2 linked regions of the Lepisosteus oculatus genome follow. The protein of the gene in region 2 purifies or fractionates together with the protein of the main gene of each other region. This does not show direct contact. Links are inferred from orthologs where the notes say so. Each region holds a gene or a part of one and is shown on either strand. Other genes may lie near its edges.

What was found. The genes of interacting proteins can lie anywhere in the genome.
Region 1: the proteins of ppp2cb (region 2) and tiprl purify together in Homo sapiens (co-immunoprecipitation; 3 studies listed by BioGRID and IntAct, with this or other methods). This does not show direct contact. The link is inferred for Lepisosteus oculatus from reciprocal best matches to the Homo sapiens genes PPP2CB and TIPRL.

Annotation. Positions count from the first base shown.
Region 1 is NC_090700.1:7,030,424-7,040,931, reverse strand, and holds tiprl (TIP41-like protein), read left to right. Parts: upstream 1-4,246; 5' UTR 4,247-4,324; exon of another isoform or gene 4,325-4,364; intron 4,365-4,846; 5' UTR 4,847-4,873; coding exon 4,874-4,977; intron 4,978-5,757; coding exon 5,758-5,937; intron 5,938-6,438; coding exon 6,439-6,538; intron 6,539-6,795; coding exon 6,796-6,927; intron 6,928-7,100; coding exon 7,101-7,196; intron 7,197-7,556; coding exon 7,557-7,619; intron 7,620-8,221; coding exon 8,222-8,374; 3' UTR 8,375-10,112; downstream 10,113-10,508. UniProt on the Homo sapiens protein: May be a allosteric regulator of serine/threonine-protein phosphatase 2A (PP2A). Isoform 1 inhibits catalytic activity of the PP2A(D) core complex in vitro. The PP2A(C):TIPRL complex does not show phosphatase activity.
Region 2 is NC_090698.1:27,325,358-27,335,865, reverse strand, and holds the start of ppp2cb (serine/threonine-protein phosphatase 2A catalytic subunit beta isoform), read right to left. Parts: upstream 5,172-10,508; 5' UTR 4,784-5,171; coding exon 4,682-4,783; intron 1-4,681.

The sequences.
Region 1 (10,508 bases), on a different chromosome or scaffold from region 2:
GTTTGTGATTCTATAATATCCCAGATTTGCTGTGTTTCTGGAAGGTATAGCATCAGTTGTGATGTGACTTGGTTTAAAGTTGCTCAATATGCATACAGAGTTGTCTTTCGCATGCTTTCTGTTAAACGTTCTGTGTCTAATTAGCTGGAAACTTGATGTGATAAAATCTTTTTGGCCTGGATTTGGGCTGGTCTGTTGTTAACACTGTGCTTGACCTTTAGTCCATGTCCACAGTGGACTGCAAGATTGCAGTATTTGAACTGTCTCCCCCAAAACACCCCAAATAAATAGATCTCAGTCTGGAACTATGATGCCTTTATGGTCTTCAGTCTCTCACCGAGGCAGCAAATAAGACATTAACAAGTAAAGGCAAAACAGCCTTGGTCTAATTTATTGAAAATACACAGTTGTCATAAACAAAAATAGCCCATTGTGCATTGTATTAATCTCTGGTTAGAAAGGTTTGTATTTGGGGCACTACTGTGTTCAATCCAATATAAAAAGGTTTTCTTTATTGATAGAACAATTTAAACTCGACAATGTTTTTAGAGCCAAAAAATTGTCTCAGCCTCTGAAGTGTTGAAATTGGACAAACTGGAATTAGCATGCCAACTATATAGTAAAACTGGAAATTGCTATCTATAACTTGCAACAAATGAATGGCACTGGAGTACAGCTGCGCTTTAGATTTTCGGACCTGCACAGGAAATGGAAGCAAACTGGGCAAAGCAAAGAAGATCATTCCACAGAGATTTGTGACCTTCCCTGGACATTTCTGTGATCAGATCCGCCAATTCGCCAGCTCCCTAACTGGGACTCAACAAACCTACTGTATATCAGGTCCTACTCCAGCCCTGCGACTTGTACTCTAGCAGACTGCTTGGAGCAGGTAAGTGTGTAGTCTGTGCTCTAAAACGACATTAGTTCAACTGAGAAGTCAGCTGCACAACAGGTCATTCGAGAACAGATTTAAACAAGATATTTGTTAATTTTCTGTCACTTCATTTTCTTTCACTTGACCAATTAATGTTTCTATTTCTGTTAGCATAGTGTGTAATATGCATGTAAAATATTATTTTTTTAATTACACACTAGAAATATGGTTAGAAAATATTTAATTGACCATTTTAAAACACCATCTGGAAATGGTGGAGATTTATCAAAGATTCATCCCATTAACTTTCATCCAAGGCACCAGGTAGTTTACCTTTAGGAAACAGATGCGCAACAATTCACTTACGCGATAGAAAACAGTCCATAATGTTCATACATTTCCTGTTCTGTTTTAAAATTCTATCTGTTTTTGCAGCTTCTAAGTGTGACCCAGGTTATTCTGGCAGATGAGGAGAAAATGACTTCCCCTCCCAATGTTACAGTGCTGCTTCTAACAGCGTATGAGAAAATGGGCAGCATGAAATACTTGTATTTTGTCTTCATCTTTGTAGCTTTCTTGGTAACTATTTTTCTTAATGGTTTCCTCATTCTTATTGTTTATCTAAAAGAGAACCTTCACAAGCCCATGTATATGTTTTTGAGCAACCTGTTTGTAAATGGCTTGTACTGGAGTGTTGCTCTGTATCCTCAAATTCTGAGTAACTTGCTGTCAGATGTGCATAAGATCACCCGCTTCTGGTGCCATTTTCAGGTATTTTGTCTTTATACTTATGCTGGTTACGAATGTACCATACTGACAGTAATGGCGTATGACAGATTTGTGTCCATCTGTATGCCACTGCAATACCACAGAATCATGACGCCTGGGACTGTATCTAAGCTTGTTGCTTTTGCCTGGCTGTTTCCTGTCTTGATTTTTGGTGTACTTGTAGGATTAAGTTCCAGGGTTCCATTGTGTGCCAATACTACTGACAAAATGTTTTGTGGAAATTGGGCTATTGACACAAAACTGGAAAGCTATTTTGGGATCCTTGCAACAGTTTTATTTCCCTGTGTGTCCATGCTTCTCGTTCTGATTTCCTATCAGAGAATACTGAGAGCCTGCTTGAAGGCTTCAAAGGAAGCAAGAGGCAAAGCTCTGACTACGTGCCTGCCTCACATCATAACGTTCCTGAAGTTCTGCATAAACGTCCTCTTCGAGGTCATCAGCCGCCGTCTGGACAACAGCAGTGTGCCGTTAGCGGTGCGGACCTTCCTGTCTCTGCAGTTGTTCATTGTCCCCCCTCTGCTCAACCCACTCATTAACAGACTCCGACTGCAGGAAATGAGGAGCACCGTGGAGAAGGTTATTTTCAGACACAAGAGTGCAGTACAGCATAATTAATAGTTAAGCTATAGTCGTGCTCAGATTTGTATTTTTTTCATACTTGTGTAAAAAAATGTATCAGTTAAAAATCATACATCTAAACAGATCTGTTTCCTTATTTAAAATAAGAGACTCAAAAGAAATAACACAAGCATTGTGTCAGACTATAACAGATCTGAGAAGACTTTTTGATTTCCAGCATTTTGAAAAGTGTTGCCTGTGTCAGACAAAAACTGGTTTAATAACATTATCAAAACAGCAGCATAATTATGATGTCATTATAATGTTCTTTCACCTGCTTTCAAAATCCTATTGGAAGTCAATTTTCTATAATCATATTTATGTAAAATGTTTTTTTTTGTTTTCTTGCCATACAACACTAGAGTCTTTATATTGTTATATATAAAATATTAAAAACAATTGATTTCTAATATGCTACCTTAGTATGCACCTTACTAGAAAGTTAAATGAAAATTTCAGCTAGTTTTAGCTTTTCTAGTTCAGTCTACTTATCCTGGTTTGTGATGCTGATTGAAATAAAGACTTGTAAATATGAAATTTATAGTAAACAATCAAGAGCATACATTTCATGTTTAATCTTATACATTAAATAGAGATAATGCTGTTTTTCCCTAAGAATATGTTTTGAGCCAAAAATGCAAGATACTAAAGCACTCTCTGCATTATGAATGAACAATGTCTTTTCCACCTACTGACTTTTGGTTCCTTGCAATATGAAATAATGACTTTGTGTTACATGGTCACTGAGTCCTAACATATGAGTTTTCCTCATAAAGAACTTCTCCCAGATGGAATTCTCTTTTGCATTTTTCTTGCTTTCATGCCAAGGTATTGGTATGACTTCAGCCTCCTGAGTGCTTCTTTTACTGAGGAGGCTTTTAATTGAGCACTTTGGGCTCCAAACAGACTGTATGGTCCTAATCCCAGAGACAAATTATTTCCTGTGGTGTCTAACAGTGTGCTGCTTCCGAATCAGCCTGAAAGACTAAAGACCTCTTGTTGGGGTCCAGGACGTTCAGATAAATCACACTTCAAAGACGGGTTGAGGAGCAGTGCCTTTGCAACATTAAGTATTCAAACAGCTCAAGGCGACATAAACTTTGAGGTTCACTTTCTGGTGCTGTACCTGAGTCATATGTGAAGCTATCATCAGGTCTTTCTTTAAGTATTAAGCCGTACAGAGGGGTATTGAACACAGTGTGTGATCAGGAGGTGTGGATGGGCTATTCAGAAGCTTTTAAAGCTTTATTTGCTCTTTCACAGCAATCTTGGGCTGTGAGGGACCTTTTTTATGTGTGGAGATTCCTGTCTCCAACTCCAAGCCCTCTTAGATAAAACCATCATATGTGCTGGCTGTTGAACAGTAGACTCCATGAAAAATAGTAATAGTATTCAGAGTTTAATCCACTTCTCCAATATTAACAATGCAGACACTGCTTCCAACAAGATTTTACGACCAATTGTCACAAAGTTGCATTGATTGGAGATTGTGTTTTATCATCTCCTAATTCAAGAAAATGACTACCTAGGAAGGTCTACAGTGAAGAGGGGGTTATTAGCAAATAGCCGTGTGGGAAGAATGAATGGATATAGTAGGAATACCTAAATATTTATAAGAGTTTTGACGTTCTAACAATCTCACAATTAGGGCCTTGCTGCACTTATATTTCTAAAATCTCAGTCGTCTCTAGAAAGACACCTTATCCAGCGACAGATACACTATAATGCCAACACGGTCTGTCATTCAAGGTGACTCAATTCGTGTTTCCTTCCGGACGAGATTTAGGAGAGAATCCTCGGATGCTTGGATTTGTTACGTTTACCTATATTTGAGCTTTTAAAGTAATACATAATTAACGACATAATTTAATATATATCCCTCTTTGTACATTTTTATAATCCTTTACATTGAACTTTAACAAGATAGACCCGTGAGACATAACTAACTTTCTCAAGCGGAACTAAAGAATTGAAGTGTGTTCACGTCGGAAAGATTTAGTGTCGTGCACGTAGTAGCAGCAGGGCAAGCTGCTGGAAAGTCAGGTAATAATTCAAAAAGACATTTTAAAAAAAGAGATCGAAGGTAGGTTTTTGAATTTCATAGTATACCAAGCCTCGTGTAACATGGGTATTCCTGACTTAAATGGTAGATTTTAAAATCCATAGGTTCAGAAACGTTTGGAGTTTATAAAACAGGCTTGCAGGGAAACTAGCATAGTCGTTAATAGTGGGGTTGGGAACTTGACTTTTATAGGGATATTACGCATCTCTAATTTGAGGTGGTTTCTACTAATTGTAGTAGACGTGTCTTGTATAATCCTCATTTATTCATGAGTAATAAATACATATACTTAAATCGGATGTTTTGTATCATCTGACTCGTGACCCAAGACATAAAACGCTGTAAAGCACTTCCAGATTAATAGTTGTTCCAGCTTCTACTAAAAATACATAACATTTATTCTTAGTATCTCTCCCACCACGTTTTGTTTCAGCTTTTGTCCTGTTTATTCGGCTCCATTATGTGTCGTTGTGTAAGTTTTAATTTTAAAAACTTTTTTGTAGGATTTTTTCCCCCCAGGATTGACAGCTATGTTGTCTCATGGATTTAAAAGCAGTAAGCAGGACTTTACATTTGGTCCTTGGAAGGTTATGGCAGAAAAAACCCACATCATGAAATCTAAAGACATTGAACGGTAAAAACGGGCCTTTTATATGTTGTTATCGATTTCTGTGCATTACAGTAATGTTTGTTTTACTTGTTTTGTTGGATCCTTCTAGTAATATATAGCAGTTAATATACAGTATTTTAGTGCTTAAACATGAAAAGAGTGATGAAAAACCAAAAAGCATGAAAAACAACTGCATAATTGTAGGGAATGATATTGTTGGTGTGATGTTAGATGTGCCTACTGTATTGCGTGAAAAAAAGTTTGAGACATTTTGTATTGTTCAGCTCTTTTCAAAGTTTGACTTCTTTAGATAAAAACAGTGGCAGTTTTCTGTTGAACTTTTAGCCACTTTAATATAACCGATACTGATAAATCTGTATATTGTCAAACGGAAAGTAGCCTGTTACCTTTCTTGTCTTGTCTCAATTAATCGCTTAGTTAGCAGATCTAAGAATCTAGGGTGCCTAGTAGGTGTTGTTAGAATCAGCAGTGAAACAGGATCCATAGGGTACAAATGGAAACTGAGGGAAAATGCATTTAAAACTGAAAACAGAAAGTTCTTCTTTATCCAAGGGGCTGTGGAAGCATCTAGACATATCATTGAAACTCATACCATAAGTAAATAAGTAGCTGATTCAGCAACCTAACAACCTAAAAGGCCTTAGTGTCATCTGTAACTTCTCTTATGTGCTTATTTGTTTTGGAAAGAGTAGCAAAACCTTTCTTCTTCTGACTAGCAGAAGGCTGTTCAAATGCATACAGTAATTCAAAGGAGGACTAATTTGCGCTCCAATATATTAACAGTTTGGCCGACGAGATGCATATGCCTTCGCTTCCTGAAATGCTCTTTGGGGACAATGTGCTACAGCTACAGCACTCTGACGGCTTTGGGATCAAGTTCAATGCGATAGATGCCCTGAAGCGCGTCAATAACATGCAGGACTCTGTCAAAGTGGCCTGTGCACAGGAGTGGCAGGAAAGCCGGTGAGAGCAAAGTTGTTCGTTACCTGTCAACTTCAGCACCAAAGAGCCAGATTCTTCAGTGGTGCTAAACTACTCCCTTCTTATAATAATCAATTTTCCTTCTTGTCTAACTAGAAGTGCACAGCTCTGCTAGATTTCTCTTTATTGACCTTAGAAATGGGGACCATTATTTGAACTACGTTTGTTGATACAGGCATTGTGTAAAACCTTTAAAAAACGTAATCATTTATGTAAACATATGGGCTTGTCCTTTGATGTTTTGGAATATTTTCAGAGGAGATAATATCATTTAATGTTGTGTGTGTAGATGTGGTTTGTGCCTTGCCATGATTATTTGGTTGTGTGATTCATTCATGTGCATTCTTGGTTCGTAATGTTCTCTATATGGCAGCAAAACCTAGCTTATGATGTGGATCACAGTGGAATTAAACACCCATGCTGACCCTGAAACCTGGTCTCGGTCAGTAATATGCATATTTCCTTTTTTGTGGACATTTGTAGAGCTGACTCGGAGCACTCCAAAGAGATCGTGAAACGATACGACTGGACATACACAACAGATTACAAAGGCACTTTGCTGGGGGATGAGAGGAAGTTAAGGGTAAGATTTGAGTCTTTTTGACTTTCGGCACGAATATTAATGTTTGATATACCAGCCTTCTGCTGCATTTCCGATTCTTTTTAAAAAGAGAAGTAATAATCCCTGTCAGAGCTGTTGACAGCTGTTCTTTTTATAGTAGAATGATGAACGTGATTTTTCTTGTTTGATCTTGCTTGAAAAGAAGACAGTTGAATGGAAATGTTTTTATTCCAGTCTTTGCAAGATGCCTGTAAACCCTTTTTTATGCCAATGTTTAGGTAGTCCCCACAACAGACCGTATTGACATGGAAAAACTTAAAGCCCGAGAGCAGATCATGTTCTTTGAGGAGGTTTTGCTGTTTGAAGATGAACTGCATGATCATGGGGTTTCTATGATCAGTGTAAAAATCGTGAGTAATATATTTCTCTTACATGGACATGCAAGAAGGTCATTTAAAATTTGAATTTTGGAGTTTGACTGTGTGTTAAATTAAGTCAACAGCAAAGTTTTGGAAAACTGATTTATTGAGGTTTGCATGATGGACTTCAAAAATCCTTACTAAAATGCTTTCTTGTTCTGAAGAGAGTGATGCCATCTAGCTTCTTCGTGCTCTTGAGGTTCTTCCTGCGGGTTGATGGAGTGCTGATTCGAATGAATGACACTCGTCTCTATCATGAGGCAAGTAGATTGCTTGAGATGATTACTGCTGCAGCCTTTTCCCCCCTCTAGTGCTGAAATGGGAACTCTTAAATAATGGAACTACAAAAGGTGGTCATTGTAAAAAGTCAATATTGTGTTGAAATTAATTGAATTTTTCATTGAACTTCTGTGTAGTTGTAATGCAATTCTTTTATTTAAGACGTTAATGGATATTAGATATATTTAATTTCATGCACCAGTAGTAGGTTGCATTCAATTGCAAAATAAAAAAAAAGCTTTTTGATAGTAAAAGAGAGTGGAAGATTTTATTTAAAAATACTTATTGTGGATCTTATCTGCATTCTTTGTTGATGTGTTTTTGTTTTCTGCTGCTTGTAGGCCGACAAGAATTACATGTTAAGGGAGTTCAGTACCAGGGAAAGCAAAATTTCAGACTTGCAGGTATGTTTGTGACTATTATTATCAAACCCGAAGGTGGGGGTATTTAATGAGTTTTGGGCAGAAATCACGTTGCTTGACAAATATTTGTAAAATGATCACAATAGCCATAGCTAATGGAAACATGTTTGAAAGGTGTTTACGCTTTCAGAACCTTTGTGTAACAATAAAACAATTCATCTGTATTTGTGATGGCGGCACTATGCTAATAACAAGGGCATGCTTAATTCAACCAGGCATATTATTTTGTTGAAGTAGTTCAAGTAGGTAGCTGTGTCAGCGTGTGTAGGCTCCAAAGGAACAAGTAAAGTTTTATTCCATGCTGAAAATATAAGAAAAGAAACGCACCGTTTTGGCCGTGGAGCCTTCTTCAGAACCCTTTTTCTACGCGAAGAAGGCTCCACAGCTGAAACGTTTTTTCTTTTCTTCTCTTTTCAGCATGGAATAAAACTTTACTTGTTCCATATTATTTTGTGGACGAGGGCTGTTTTGGACTGGTTTTAGGCCGCTTGTATTCTTTTGCTGACAAGGCAGGTGGCGATGTCTGTTCATGTGTGCACGGCCGTTTATATATTACGCTTGTTAATAAACGCTTATTTTTCTAGCATGTTCCCCCTGCTTTCTACACGGACCCCAATGAGATCTCCCAGTACCTGCCTCTGAAGCTGCTGGAGTGTGAGAAACTGGCATTCCCAGAAACGGGCCCGCAGGCAGAATCGCCGGACAAGCTCACAGAGACCGAGCCAGAGCGAACGTGAATCCTAACAGATGGGAGGAAGGAGAAAGGAGTAGCTCCTGCTTTCTGGATTTCTGCTTCTCACACAAGACTCTTCGTTTCTGGGGAAATCCAGGATGGGGTTACCCCTGCCGGTCTTTTCTCTAATGGCCGTTGTCCACAGTCATGGGTGGAGAATGAAACATTCGTCTTCACTTCAGATTTAAACAAGATTCTCTGCATAAACCGGTGTGTTCACAACATAGGTAGCTTTTAAGGCTTATGATGAACAATAGAAACATCTGTGACTTGTACTCATAAAGGCCTTTTTTCTAAAAAGTGAATGTGGACTTGCACTTGTTCTGACTTTAGATATTCGATATCTAAAGTAGATATACTTTAGATTAGATATACACAGTCATGTTTTATGGACTATATGAACATGCATAACATGTTTCTGTTGCAGATGATCTTGTTGGGCTAAAAAGGATATTTTTCCATGCTGAAAAGTAATATTTCAGATGTTCCAGTAATATTTGAGATGTTCACTGAAAGAAGGCTCCATAGCCAAAATGTGTTTCTTCTTTCTGCTTTTCAGCGTGGAATTAACCTTTGCTCACTCTTGTTTTCATTGTTCATCATTTTTACCCATGGATATTTAAAGAGACTTTTGTAAAATGTATATGTCTTACCTACACTAAAAGCCAATGATGAGGAGAAATTAAATATTTACCCATCAAATGGAATGTGAGAATTTAGGTTAGCTGTAATATTAGTGTACATGTTTTAAACCCCCTTGACAATGGGTGTGTTGTGTAAATGTCTAATCTTTACCTTTGATGTAATCTTAATAAACATATAATGGTGCTATTTTCCATATCCCAGTGCAGTGAATACTGCAGTATCATTGGTGTACTGACTTGGACCTGAAAAAACATTCTAATATAATAATTCATTTTAATTCCATCCCCAGAGGTTAATGGCAGATATTGTGTGTTTATGTGTGTTGTGGAAATTAGAAATCCTCATGCAACACTCATACTACATATCCCAAACCTCCCTGAAAGCTGGGTGAGAAGGCAGTTAAGGGGCTAATGCACATACAGTATAAAGAGTTTTGCTGATATTCCTGTTAATGCAGGACTGAGTATTTCTGTGAAGGGTTCGCTCTGCCAAGGTCTTGATCTATTTGTTTGAAAACTAGTCCAAGAGGCAGATTGCAACATAAATATGCCTCAGGTACTATGTCACATTTTAACATTTTATTTCAGTTACCTTAGTTATAAAAAGAGGCAAAGTATGCTTTGCTTCTCTACAAATCTTTGTATTCAGAGCAAGGAATACACATTCAACGTTTACTTCACTCATGTTAAATATACAGCAGGGATAAAACATTTGCAGAGTTTCTGAAAATATTCTCCAAATAAGTTTGTTGTTTTTCTTCCAAATGTTTTTGATGTGCAGACTTAAATTTGTGTTTGAAATAGTAACTCTTACAGTATCTCAACAAAGTGTTTTTGGATCACTGTAAAATGGTTGAATTATGTCCAGAGTTGTAATGTCTATTTGTTCATTTTCTTTTATGTCCACTGGATGAAAAGTCCAAAATCTTAGTGAGCCTGGTACACATCTTGCCGATCCCTTGGTTTTGCTTTGCAACGACAACATTGACTTGGTTTGCTGAAAGAAGAAACTTTTAACCTATGCCTTAACAAATGTGGTGAATACTGTTTCAGAAAATTCCCTGTAAATTCTAAATACATATCTGCAAATGAAAATAACGTGACTTTTAATTCATTTAATTACAGTTTAAATGCTTTCTTAAGTGGGAATAATACCTGTATTTTAAAAGGGTGGTAGCATAGCTCCCCTTGTATACCCTGGCGTGTCTACCCCAGGAACGTCACTAAATTTCTGGGAGGCCTGACGTGTGTCTGGATTTTATTCTAATCTGTTTTGTCAAATAAGCAAAAGTTGACTCAAAACATTCCCTACGTTAAAATTACAGTGACCTTTCAAACACTCTGGAGCCTGGTTAGACATATTACAGTTATGCAGTTAATTAGATCAACTATGCAACTGGAAGCTCAGGTGTTACAAAACCCAGAAAACACTAGGGCTTACTGAAACTAGGATAGACATTTGAGATCTAAAAGTTCCATACAAAATGTCATTTA
Region 2 (10,508 bases):
TGCATGTAAGCCCTGTGTCCATGTACTCAGGATTCCACCACAAATCCCAAAGTATTCAGACCCTGTCACAGCTTGCAGACAATTGGAAGCTGCAATTTGTTATATACACATATTCATGGCAAACAAATTGAAAGATATGAAAGGAAATGTAAAAGTATTTGATCAACATGCAAACCCTTCGCCATAGCAAATCTAAATGAAGGCGCACACCTTACTCACCCACACACTGTGCTCACTCAGAAATGGTTCTCGTGAGCTCAGAATACAAAACCTCCTTTCTCTGTGAGGTTCCTTGGTCAGGTAGTGAATGCCATGCAAAAGACACAACTATGAAAACTTTCAAAGCAATGCAGGGATAAAGTCACTGAAAAGCAAAAACCAGAAGGGTACAAAAAATACTGAGGTGTCTACCCTTGTGAGCACAATCATCGAGAAACGCAGGGTGTATTGTACCACCAAGTCACTACCTAGATCAGTCTTTCCCTCCAAACTGAACGGCTGGGAAAGGAGGAAACTAGTAAGCGATCCGACCATGAGGCCAAAGGTGAATATTACAACTGCTACCGAGTCCAGATGAGATGGGAGAAAACGTGCACCAATCAACGATATCTGGGTCACCCCACAGATCTGGCCTCTATAGCAGATTTACAAAGTTAAGAATTTAAGCAATACTGCAGAAATATGGCAAATGGTTTTGTGGTCAGATGAGAGAAAATAGGAATTTGTTAGTCTAAAACAAAGTATTATATTTGGTTCAAACCCAACACATCACTCAATCAACACCATCTGTGTGTTAGGTATGGCGAGTACCGTGTTATGTTACTATTCTGCTTCTCATTTATGGTAACATAGATGGAGCAAAGTACTTGTGAATCCTAGAGGAAACTCTGCTTCAGACAAAACAACTGGGACAAAAATTCATCTTTCAGCAGGACAGTGTTCCAAAGCACAAGGCCACAGCTACAGTAAAGTGCCTTAAGAGCATGAAAGTGAATGTCCTTGAGAGAGGTGACTTGAATTCTACTGAGAATCTGTGTAAAGACTTACTGCACATAAGAGATCCCCAAGCAACTTGTGAGACCTTGAGAAAATCTGCCAAAAGTGCAAAAAGTCAGAAAAGACTTAATCAAAAGGACCTGCAGCTAGAATTGCTGCCAAAGTTGCTTCCACCAAATATTCACAGGTCTGAAAACGCAATCAACTTATTTCTGCGTTTCTTCTTTAATTTTTACTAACATTTCTAACATAATTAATTAAGTGGCATGGTGGCCCAGTCTTACGGTGCTGGAGCCCCACATTTGATTCGTGGGTGCTCTTTGTGGAGTTTGCATGTTCTCCCCGAGTTTGCTTGGGTTTCCTCCCACAGTCCGAAGAAATACCAGCAGGTTAACTAGCTTCTGTTTGTGTCTGTGTGCGCGGTGATGGACTGGCATCTTGTCCAGAGCATACACTTGCCTTGTTGACTGTTGCTTGCTGGAAGTAGGCTCCGGCCCCCCTGTACTGGATAAAGTGGTTAGAAAATGCATGGATGGAATATTAAGTAGAAAGGGTCTGAATACATTTGCAAAGCACTGTAATGTAAATGAAGGACTTTAAAATAGATGTAGTATCCCAAGATTGCAGAGAATTTCCCCAAGCTCCCCAAATGTGTGGGTATATTTGAGTTAATGAGTCTATAGCTAGATGTGACCACTTTAACATTCAGGAGTAGTAACTGTAAGCCACCGACAAAAAAGCTGAAGCATTAAGAGTGTTCCCCGATAATGTATTTGACAAAAAAAAAATCCCACATCATCACTTTTGCCAAAAATTAATCAACAAGGAACCGTGCAGTAGGTTAACTCCAACCAGAGACAGAGAGTGGAAACTGGACATCTGGGACAGCAGACGTCCCTTAAACAGCTTGTGCAGTTGGAATTAGACGTAAAATCCTATAAGTGATTTAAAAAGAAAAAAAACATGCAACCCTGCAGAGGTCACAAGAAAGAAGCAGCACACAGTCTGCTCAGGTCACAAACACCCAGACGTGTTTCAAAGCCCCCCGCCACAGCAGAGGGGAAACTCCACTCTCCGAAGCTCACAATCTCATCCACCTCTTCAGTGTCCAAGCAGCAGAAAACACCACATGCTAGTCACATCAAGCTGGCGTGAACATCATGGAAATGAACTAGGGGACCGACATTCAAGCAATGGTGTTTATTCACCCGGGAGAAGGCAAGGGCAAGACTTTCCAAAAACTCTCTTTAAAACACAGGGAGCTACTAACTGAAAAAGAACTGTAGGAAAAGAAGTGATGCTTTCATCCCTGTGGTTGTTCCAAAGATAAAAACGCTGACAATACAATCCCAGGAAACCAGGCTTGACTTTGGGCTCAGAAGCAGTCGGTGTTTGAGACTGAAAGACTCAAAAGCCTGTTTCTATCAGGTGGATGACAGTTCTGCGAGCAGGCAACAGCTGGGGTAGAAAGAAGCTAAAGAAACATGGGATCATGTAGGTTTGTTTCAAACAGACTGGTTGCGAGGAAAAAGGCAATGAGGGAAACAGAGCCCCTATTGCTATCTCAGAAGAATCCTCAGAATGGAGATGGAGGAGCCCAGCACTCAGTTAGTAAAGAGACATTGCAGAGGCACACACTTGGGCATGTTACAACTTTTATTGGAGCATTTTAATAAAGCCATCATTATTAGCAGACTCATCTTAATGTTCCCAAAGCAGTTCTGATTGGCCATGACCGGAACCCAATTATTTTTTCTCTCCCAGCAACACCATCAGAAAAATACTTTTACCCTTAAATTAGGAACAGTTGTATTCTTCATACTTACATATACAATAGCAGGCCTAGAACCTTAGCACATAGCCTATGAAAATCCTTACTTGTAGTTATCAGATCCTAACCTTCCTATAAAACAAGATTTAAACTTGATTTTAACTGATGCTAAGGTGATTCATTCTAGTTTCTGATTCAGCACAGCGTTGAAGGAATTCAGTGGCCTATTAATTTGCCTTAGCGACACAATTTCACACACTGCCCAGGATCCAGAGCTAGACAACCTATACCCACAAACAAAATCACAAATTTCAAAGCCATTTCTTAAGTGAAAAGCATGACTCCCATCTAGTGATGTGTTTGAAGTTCTTAACTGTCCATGGTGTTTTAATCCCAACCCCAGGTCTCTCTGCTTGGTGACTATAAAGATTCTGGAGGTCCGGTGTTTTAGTAGGTTTTCATTCCATCTCATTTCTAAATGACCTAAATCAGCTTGTTACTGGCTATACCAATTTAACGCTGCCCAGCTCTTCAGTTGTCAGTGAATGAAAGAGACCTAGAAAACTGGCGGACATGCTAGGCCACTGATATTCATTGCTGGTCCTGGGGGGCTGTTGTTTTCAGGTTTTCATTCCAAGCTGGACTCTGCTGTTCACTCTGCTGCTCTGTATTATTTCAAGTCTTTACCCATTGCGGATTACCCCTACGTAAACCTGTGAAACTGGCAAACTGCAACCCTTTAGGTCCAAGAATTAATATTTCTGTATTAGACTCCCCAGGACAGATGACAGACCCCCTATCAAAAGGTACAGTGTCATAAAAACCCTTTGAGCAACAAAATCATTCTCCAACTCATGCAACCCGCCCCTTAATTACTATATTGATCCTACTGGTCCGCAGCTAAATAATTAAGAAGCTGGTTGTAGAAATAATGGAAAATAGAGCAGGCTGGAGGTTGAGGAGCCCTGCTTTAGAAGAAAATCCCGAGTTTGTTCTTTTTACACGGTGCTACTGCCTGATGTGCGCTGGACACAGCAGGTGCCTCGTCCCGGGGCAACTGGACCTCGAAAGCTGGCGTCCTCGTGCACAAGGGCCGAATTCAGCAGAACCTGCAAGACTGAACTGACCGTGACCTGCGAGCATCGAAACCCGTGAGATTACGCGTGCCACCAGCAAAACAGACATTATGATGGTGCCTACGGAGGTTAAAGTAGTACTTTATTACAAACTCCATGACTGTGAGAACATTTTTCAATGTATGGTTGCTTTACATTCACAATATTGCTGTGTTCCACAAACACAGCATCGTTGTTTCTCGCTTTATATTATGAGTGTTCTTCAAAGTTAATATTGCTTGTTTTAAACCCCACTTAGGAAAAAATTAAGCAAGATAAGTTTTTTTTTGTTTTATATCGCGTGGTTTAAATTAATTGTCATGACTCTACTAAAATGCACTAACGTGCATATACAACGCTCAATAACGAAGTGGATAAACACAGCAATTTCAGAACAGAAAAGCCTCACAAACCACAACGAGCTCTCCTGTGAGCAGCACGTCTGGTCCTTTTTGCTGATGCGCTGGAACGAGCCCCACCAGCCCGTCCCGCACAGGCGCACTGAGCTCTCCCCACCTGACGGCTGCGGACGCCGCATGCGCCACGGATCACTATCTCGCAGCTCTCACCCAGCCCGCAGCTGACGCGCCGCTCGCGTTCAATCGGTCACTATTTGGCAGCGCCGTCGCTGGGGCCCCAAACATCAGCAGCCCACTTCACTTTACCCGAGTACAGCGAGCGTTCACAAGCTAGGGGCGAAATGCCGGTACATTACACCAAAAAAGACTGACCCTCAGTTGAAACTTGAACACACACAGTCACTTCCAAGATGCATGGTAAAAACCATAAATTGCCGTACCTTCTCACACAGCGTTCTCACTTGGTTCTCAGTCAGCTGCTTGCAATCGTTCAGCTGCTCGACCCATTGATCCAGTTCTTTTGTAAAGGCTTTATCGTCCATTTTTAAAAACACACACGGCAAAGCGGTTTTAAGCACTAAGTTGTTTCGAGCAGTGACTCGTTTCTTTTTTTTCTTATCGAAATTCGTCGCTGAAAGGCTGAAGCTGGAGCTTTGCAGAGCGGTGCGAAGGGGGGCACCTCGGCTTTCGGAACAGATAGCTGAAATCGGCTCAGAAACGGCGAAATCAAACTGGTCCGGGCGTTTTCAAGTCCCCTAAGACTTTAGGCGCTCTGGTTCCTGGGTCCAGCGGGTGGGTAGCAGGGGATGAGCCGCACTCTTCCTTCACTGCCAGTAGCTCCTCTTCCCCCCGACCTTCCCAGCGAAACTCAGCTGTGTAATGGCCGACCGGCTCTGCGCTCTCCTCCCCCAAACGTCATCACAATGGCATTTCCACCACAACACCGGAGATTTCACAAAGCAAGAAAAACACTCGGTGAAGAGACGTTTCCCTCCAACTGCAAATAGCTTTAGCAAGTTAGCAGTTATTCTTCTAGCGCCCTCCGCTGTCAGAGAAGACCTAGTTGGCTATAAACTGTGGGTTAGTGCTTCTCAACCCCGGTCCTGGAGGGCATCTGTGTTACAGTTTTTTTTTCCAGTAGAGCTCTTACTCATGAGCCTATTTATTCCTTTAAATGAACTACTGCTTGGTTAGACGTTTTAAACCTGTTTCTGCACGTGTTTTAATAAATGATAATTGGATTGATTATTTATGATTCAAGTTTTTAACATGATCTTTCAGCCACACAATGCCTTTTTCATAGGGACTGCCAAATTGATAGTACCTGCATTACCAGAAAAAATGTATCTTATGCTTTAGTTTTGGGTGGTATATTTCCTATATATGAATGATTGTTAAAGTTCCACGAGAAACAAAAGACAACCACATTTCAAAACTTTATTTTGAACTAAATAGAATATTTTTCATTTTGGCAGAGGATTGTGTTTCTACAGTTTATTGTGTAGGGTCCCAGGCACAGTGAAAATCAATTGACATTTGACTGCTGAAACTATTGTGAGTGCCTCTGTGTTTCACCAGAGGGCCCTCTACTTCCACACATGTTCAGAAATATTCAAAACATCTTGTCATCTAGGTGCACAGTGCAATGCACAGTCTGCATTTGAAGGTCTGAGGGCCTTCTGGATCAGCAGGTGTCTGGTGGTAGTAAGTGTGGAAATAGATACTGTGCTTAGAGCAATCAAACTCAATAGCATGATGCAACCAGATGAAATCCCTTGCCACTGCCAGAGTTAGTGAATAATCTGTTTTCATCAATCCCTGCTCAGATTACACTTTGCTTGATGCTTGCACATCTTGCTGTTTAACTGTTAGGACCCCAAAACAAAGATAAAAACTTTTCTAGAGTATCTTCTTCAACTAATCATGTATAAGCAGATGTAATTTTTGAATTAATCTGTAGACCCTCTTGTTTAAATGTTTAAACTGCCAAAAAGTCTTGGCTTCCATCTTTTTCTTCTTCACAAACGTGAATTTCAGTTTTATTTGCAGTATTAACATTTTAGACATAGACAGGATGACAAACTGATCTAATTCAAGTATTTTAACTGCTCACAAGAGCCAACATAGTCCTTCCACTGAACTTCTACAAGATGAACAATGAGAGACAAAGCAGGGAAACATTCCTTTGCACTAGCTGAAGAGACTCAGGGACTATAGGAATAATAATAAGAGTGCTCTTTTAATGGACTTGAGACATTTCCTCTGCGTCAATATAGTTCTGTACATGCACATTTGGAGATATAAACAGAAATCCAAGATTAAGGAGACTGGACTGAAGGACAGTCCTTTAGCCTAGTCTCTTTAAACAACAGTCTGGCCCAGCTAGCTTCTTTTATACTGCTCCAGACACACTACTGATGACCCCAGTGATCGATGACCCAGCTTGCTGCTCACCAGAGGCTCCTGGGAAGTGTAGTCTTCTCCAGCGTGTCCACGTTCTCAAATATAAGAACTAAAGTGTTTGGACTGATATAGACAGTAGCACCCTTCCTCCCTCCTACAGTGTGTACACTGGATGTCATCTTTCAGCTCTGTAACAATGCTGCTCTCCTTTGCATATCTATTTGGATTATGGTGTCTAACTTGACAATAGGTCATGTATAGTACAGCTTTAGCTGCTAACATGTTATGTAACTGTATGCAGTATAACTATGCTGTTGGCTTTTTGTAACATTTCCACAGTCCGAAAAAAGGTTTACTATGTTAACATAAATGACTTGTAAGATTTATTAGCTCAATACTGTACAGATTCATTACACTATTGTATAACGTATTATCTTGAATACATTTAATATTTATATTACATTTAATATGCAAACATAGGAATACAAAGCATTACCTGTTTTGTATATATACTTTCCCTATATCCCTGCCAAGGATACATATTAAATGAACCTAAAATTTGCATTAATAAAGAAAAGCAAAGTGTAGCAGGCTGGTCTTTGAAGGGACTTTAATAACAACTGACCTGCCACTAGCCACCGTCCTCTACTCGAGAATAATTTCACTGGGGTTAAATTGTTCATTTTTATTATTTTTACAGTGTGGTAGATGACACATTCTCACATGGGTGTTAATCAGTGATGTGTTTGGGTACATGGGTATAGGGACTTTCACTGTGTTAGTGATGAGTTGCGTTTTAAGAAGCAGTCAGGTCAGACTGCTAGAGTTTAACAATAGGCAAGGGGTGTGGGTGGGAGCTTCTCTTTACAGTCTTTTGAATGTAAGATCTCCTGTTTACCCTGAAATAAAGTCTCCAGCATCATATAGGGTCATCCTTGTGAATCTTCATGGGCTCAGATCAATGAGTCCACCTTATCTAAGGGTGGGTTCTGTCACATCAGTACTGTACCTTTTATAGAAAAATACTGACAAATTTGTCAAAAATACATTTTAATATGACAAACAGTACAGAAACAAATAGTGCTCAGACAATGTATAGGATTAAATCATGGATAACATTTTGTTCTTTACAAATTGAGCATAAAATTCTAGGAAAGCATGAAGGAAAATATTATCTTGGCAGGACTCTGCAAAAAATACAAAAATATATTTTTTAAGAAATATGAAAGAAACATATAAAAGCTTTCAGACCTAAAGTTTTCAGAAAGGACTCTTGAAAACAACCAAAAATAGAACCATCAGACATAATGTTCTTGTGTTCTCTGCTTCTCTCTAATTCCAGTACACTGAAAAACAGAAATATCAAAGGTAAAGTTAGTTTAACTGACAGTCAAACAGCTGACAGGTGATAATTCACTTTTTTCCTGAAAAATGTTTTACGCATTTTTAGAATTTATCTCATATTTTGTTTAAACATTAACTCTTTGTTCCACTATGTTATATATTTCAAGATGTAAAGAATCTGTTAACTTCAGATAGTGGTCTTCAGCACAATAAAGTAGATTTCACAAGCTGTATACATGTAGTAAAACAAAAAATAATGAGTGACACAGAAGCTCATGTACTAACATACCTGGTGGTGGCTGACTTGCTGCAGAACAATTTGGATCAGAATAAAATGTCCTCAGTTGCTGAGAGTCCACTGCAGGTATCTGAGAATTGCTCATACCAAATGGATACCCATTACAAAAGAGAAAGGGTTCACAATTGTAATACGGACAGGAGTTGTTTAATGCCTGAAGATGATGAAACTGAGATCCATGATCTGTAGTGCTTGCAAATGCGTGGTAAGTACTGGCTGGTTGGAGCTCCTGCCTTCCAGAGCACACAGGAGCACTGTGAAGCTGCTGTGTCCACGCACCACCTCCCTGGTGCAGAGACCAAAAGGGTAAGACGGGCTGGTTCCAGTAGTGTGGTGCCTGTGAATGCAGAGTCTGCTGCTGGCTGTTCTGTAAGATGCTGGGCCTTAAAAGTCCCTCACTGCCCGGACGTCTCTCAGGGTGCCTTTTGTTTGATATACAAGTCTGTGTCTTTGTCTCACCCCAGGCTGGTCTCAGCTGCTGCTGGTACCTGTGGCATTCTCGCTGTTGTGCGTGGGAAACTGGACAGGGCAGAGTACGCTGCAGGGATGAACCGTGATTCTTGTGCCAAGGTGCCCATGTTGTGCGCTGCTGCTCAAACACCCTCCCCACAGACACGAAGTCAGAAGATGAAACCTTGGTTTTTGGAGTGCAATTTACGTCGCACATCATACCCTGCTCAGAGGCTAATGTGTGGGGAAAAGGCTCCAAAGATTTGGCTTTTTTTTTAATCTGCTGCTCAGAGCCATTCTGCAGTTTATATATTGTCTCCAGAATTGTCTCACTAAGTGCTTGCACATGAGGCTGTAGCTGTAAAGAGTCATGACCATTTCTGAGAGCAGTGGTCTCCAGCTGTAATGATGTGTCTCGGATCTCCTTAATTGCCAGAGGACAGGTCATGACCTCATTGTCCTTGATGTGTCCCGAAGGAAGAGTCACAGGCTGCTGCTGTCTACTGACAGTTGTTTTTAACTCTTTCCTGTCGAGAAAAGAATTAATAAGCACGTGACTACTTTGAGGCTTGTGGTCATTGAATAGTGTAACAGTTATCGGTAGATGCTGTCTTTTCAGACCTGACATTTGATTGGTTTACGTCACCAGATAATTAACCCAAGAAGTTACAATATTTTTTCTTTGTTGGCTTGTCTAATATCTATAGGTTTCAAATATGGGCTGACAAGGCTTCCTTGCAAATTAAAAGTCACCCGGTATATTATGTTAATTTTACTGTATGTAAGCTGCTGAACTGAACTCAGAAAAATATATGATTATCTTTTTTTGCAAGGGTTGTTTTTGTTTTGTTTCACAGATTTTGAACACAGTATGGCACTTTAAATGTGGTAATTCATGTTCACATAAATTATGAATTATGAATACTGAGTATTCATAATTATAAAATAAGTTGTGCATCATGTCCAAAAACTTTAAATATTTACACCGACCACTCGATTTCCCAAACAAACCAACCCATTCAATTTCAGTACTAAGATCTTTTGCTGTTTGGTTGCTTTATTGTCTTCAAGAGTTTAGGTTTTCATGATGTAGGTCTCACATTCTAATACATATTATATTGGAAAAGGAGGCTGTGTAAAACTGTACGGTGCAAAACGATACAGTGCAAATTTGGCTGTGCTGTGTTTTTTAGTGGACCACCAATATAATAATAATTGCTTACACTTATAAAGCTTTTTTCTGGACACTCCACTCAAAGCGCTTTACAGGTAATGGGGACTCCCCACCACCACCACCAATGTGCAGCCACACCTGGATGATGCGACAGCAGCCATAACACACCAGAATGCTCACCACACATCAGCTATCAGTGGAGAGGAGAGCAGAGTAATAAAGCCAATTCAAGATGGGGATCATTAGGAGGTCATTACTGGTAAGGGCCAATAGGAAAATTGGCCAGGATGCCAGAGTTACACCCCTACTCTTTTCGAGAAACACCCTGGGATTTTTAATGACCACAGAGAGTCAGGACCTCAGTTTTACATCTCATCCAAAGGACAGCACCTGTTTACAGTATAGTGTCCCCATCACTATACTGGGGCATTAGGACCCACATGGACCACAGGGTGAGCACCCCCTGCTGGCCCCACTAACACATCTTCCAGCAGCAACCTTAGTTTTTCCCAGGAGGTCTCCCATCCAGGTACTGACCAGGCTCACACCTGCTTAGCTGCAGTGGGTTGCCAGTTGTGAGTTGCAGAGTGATATGGCT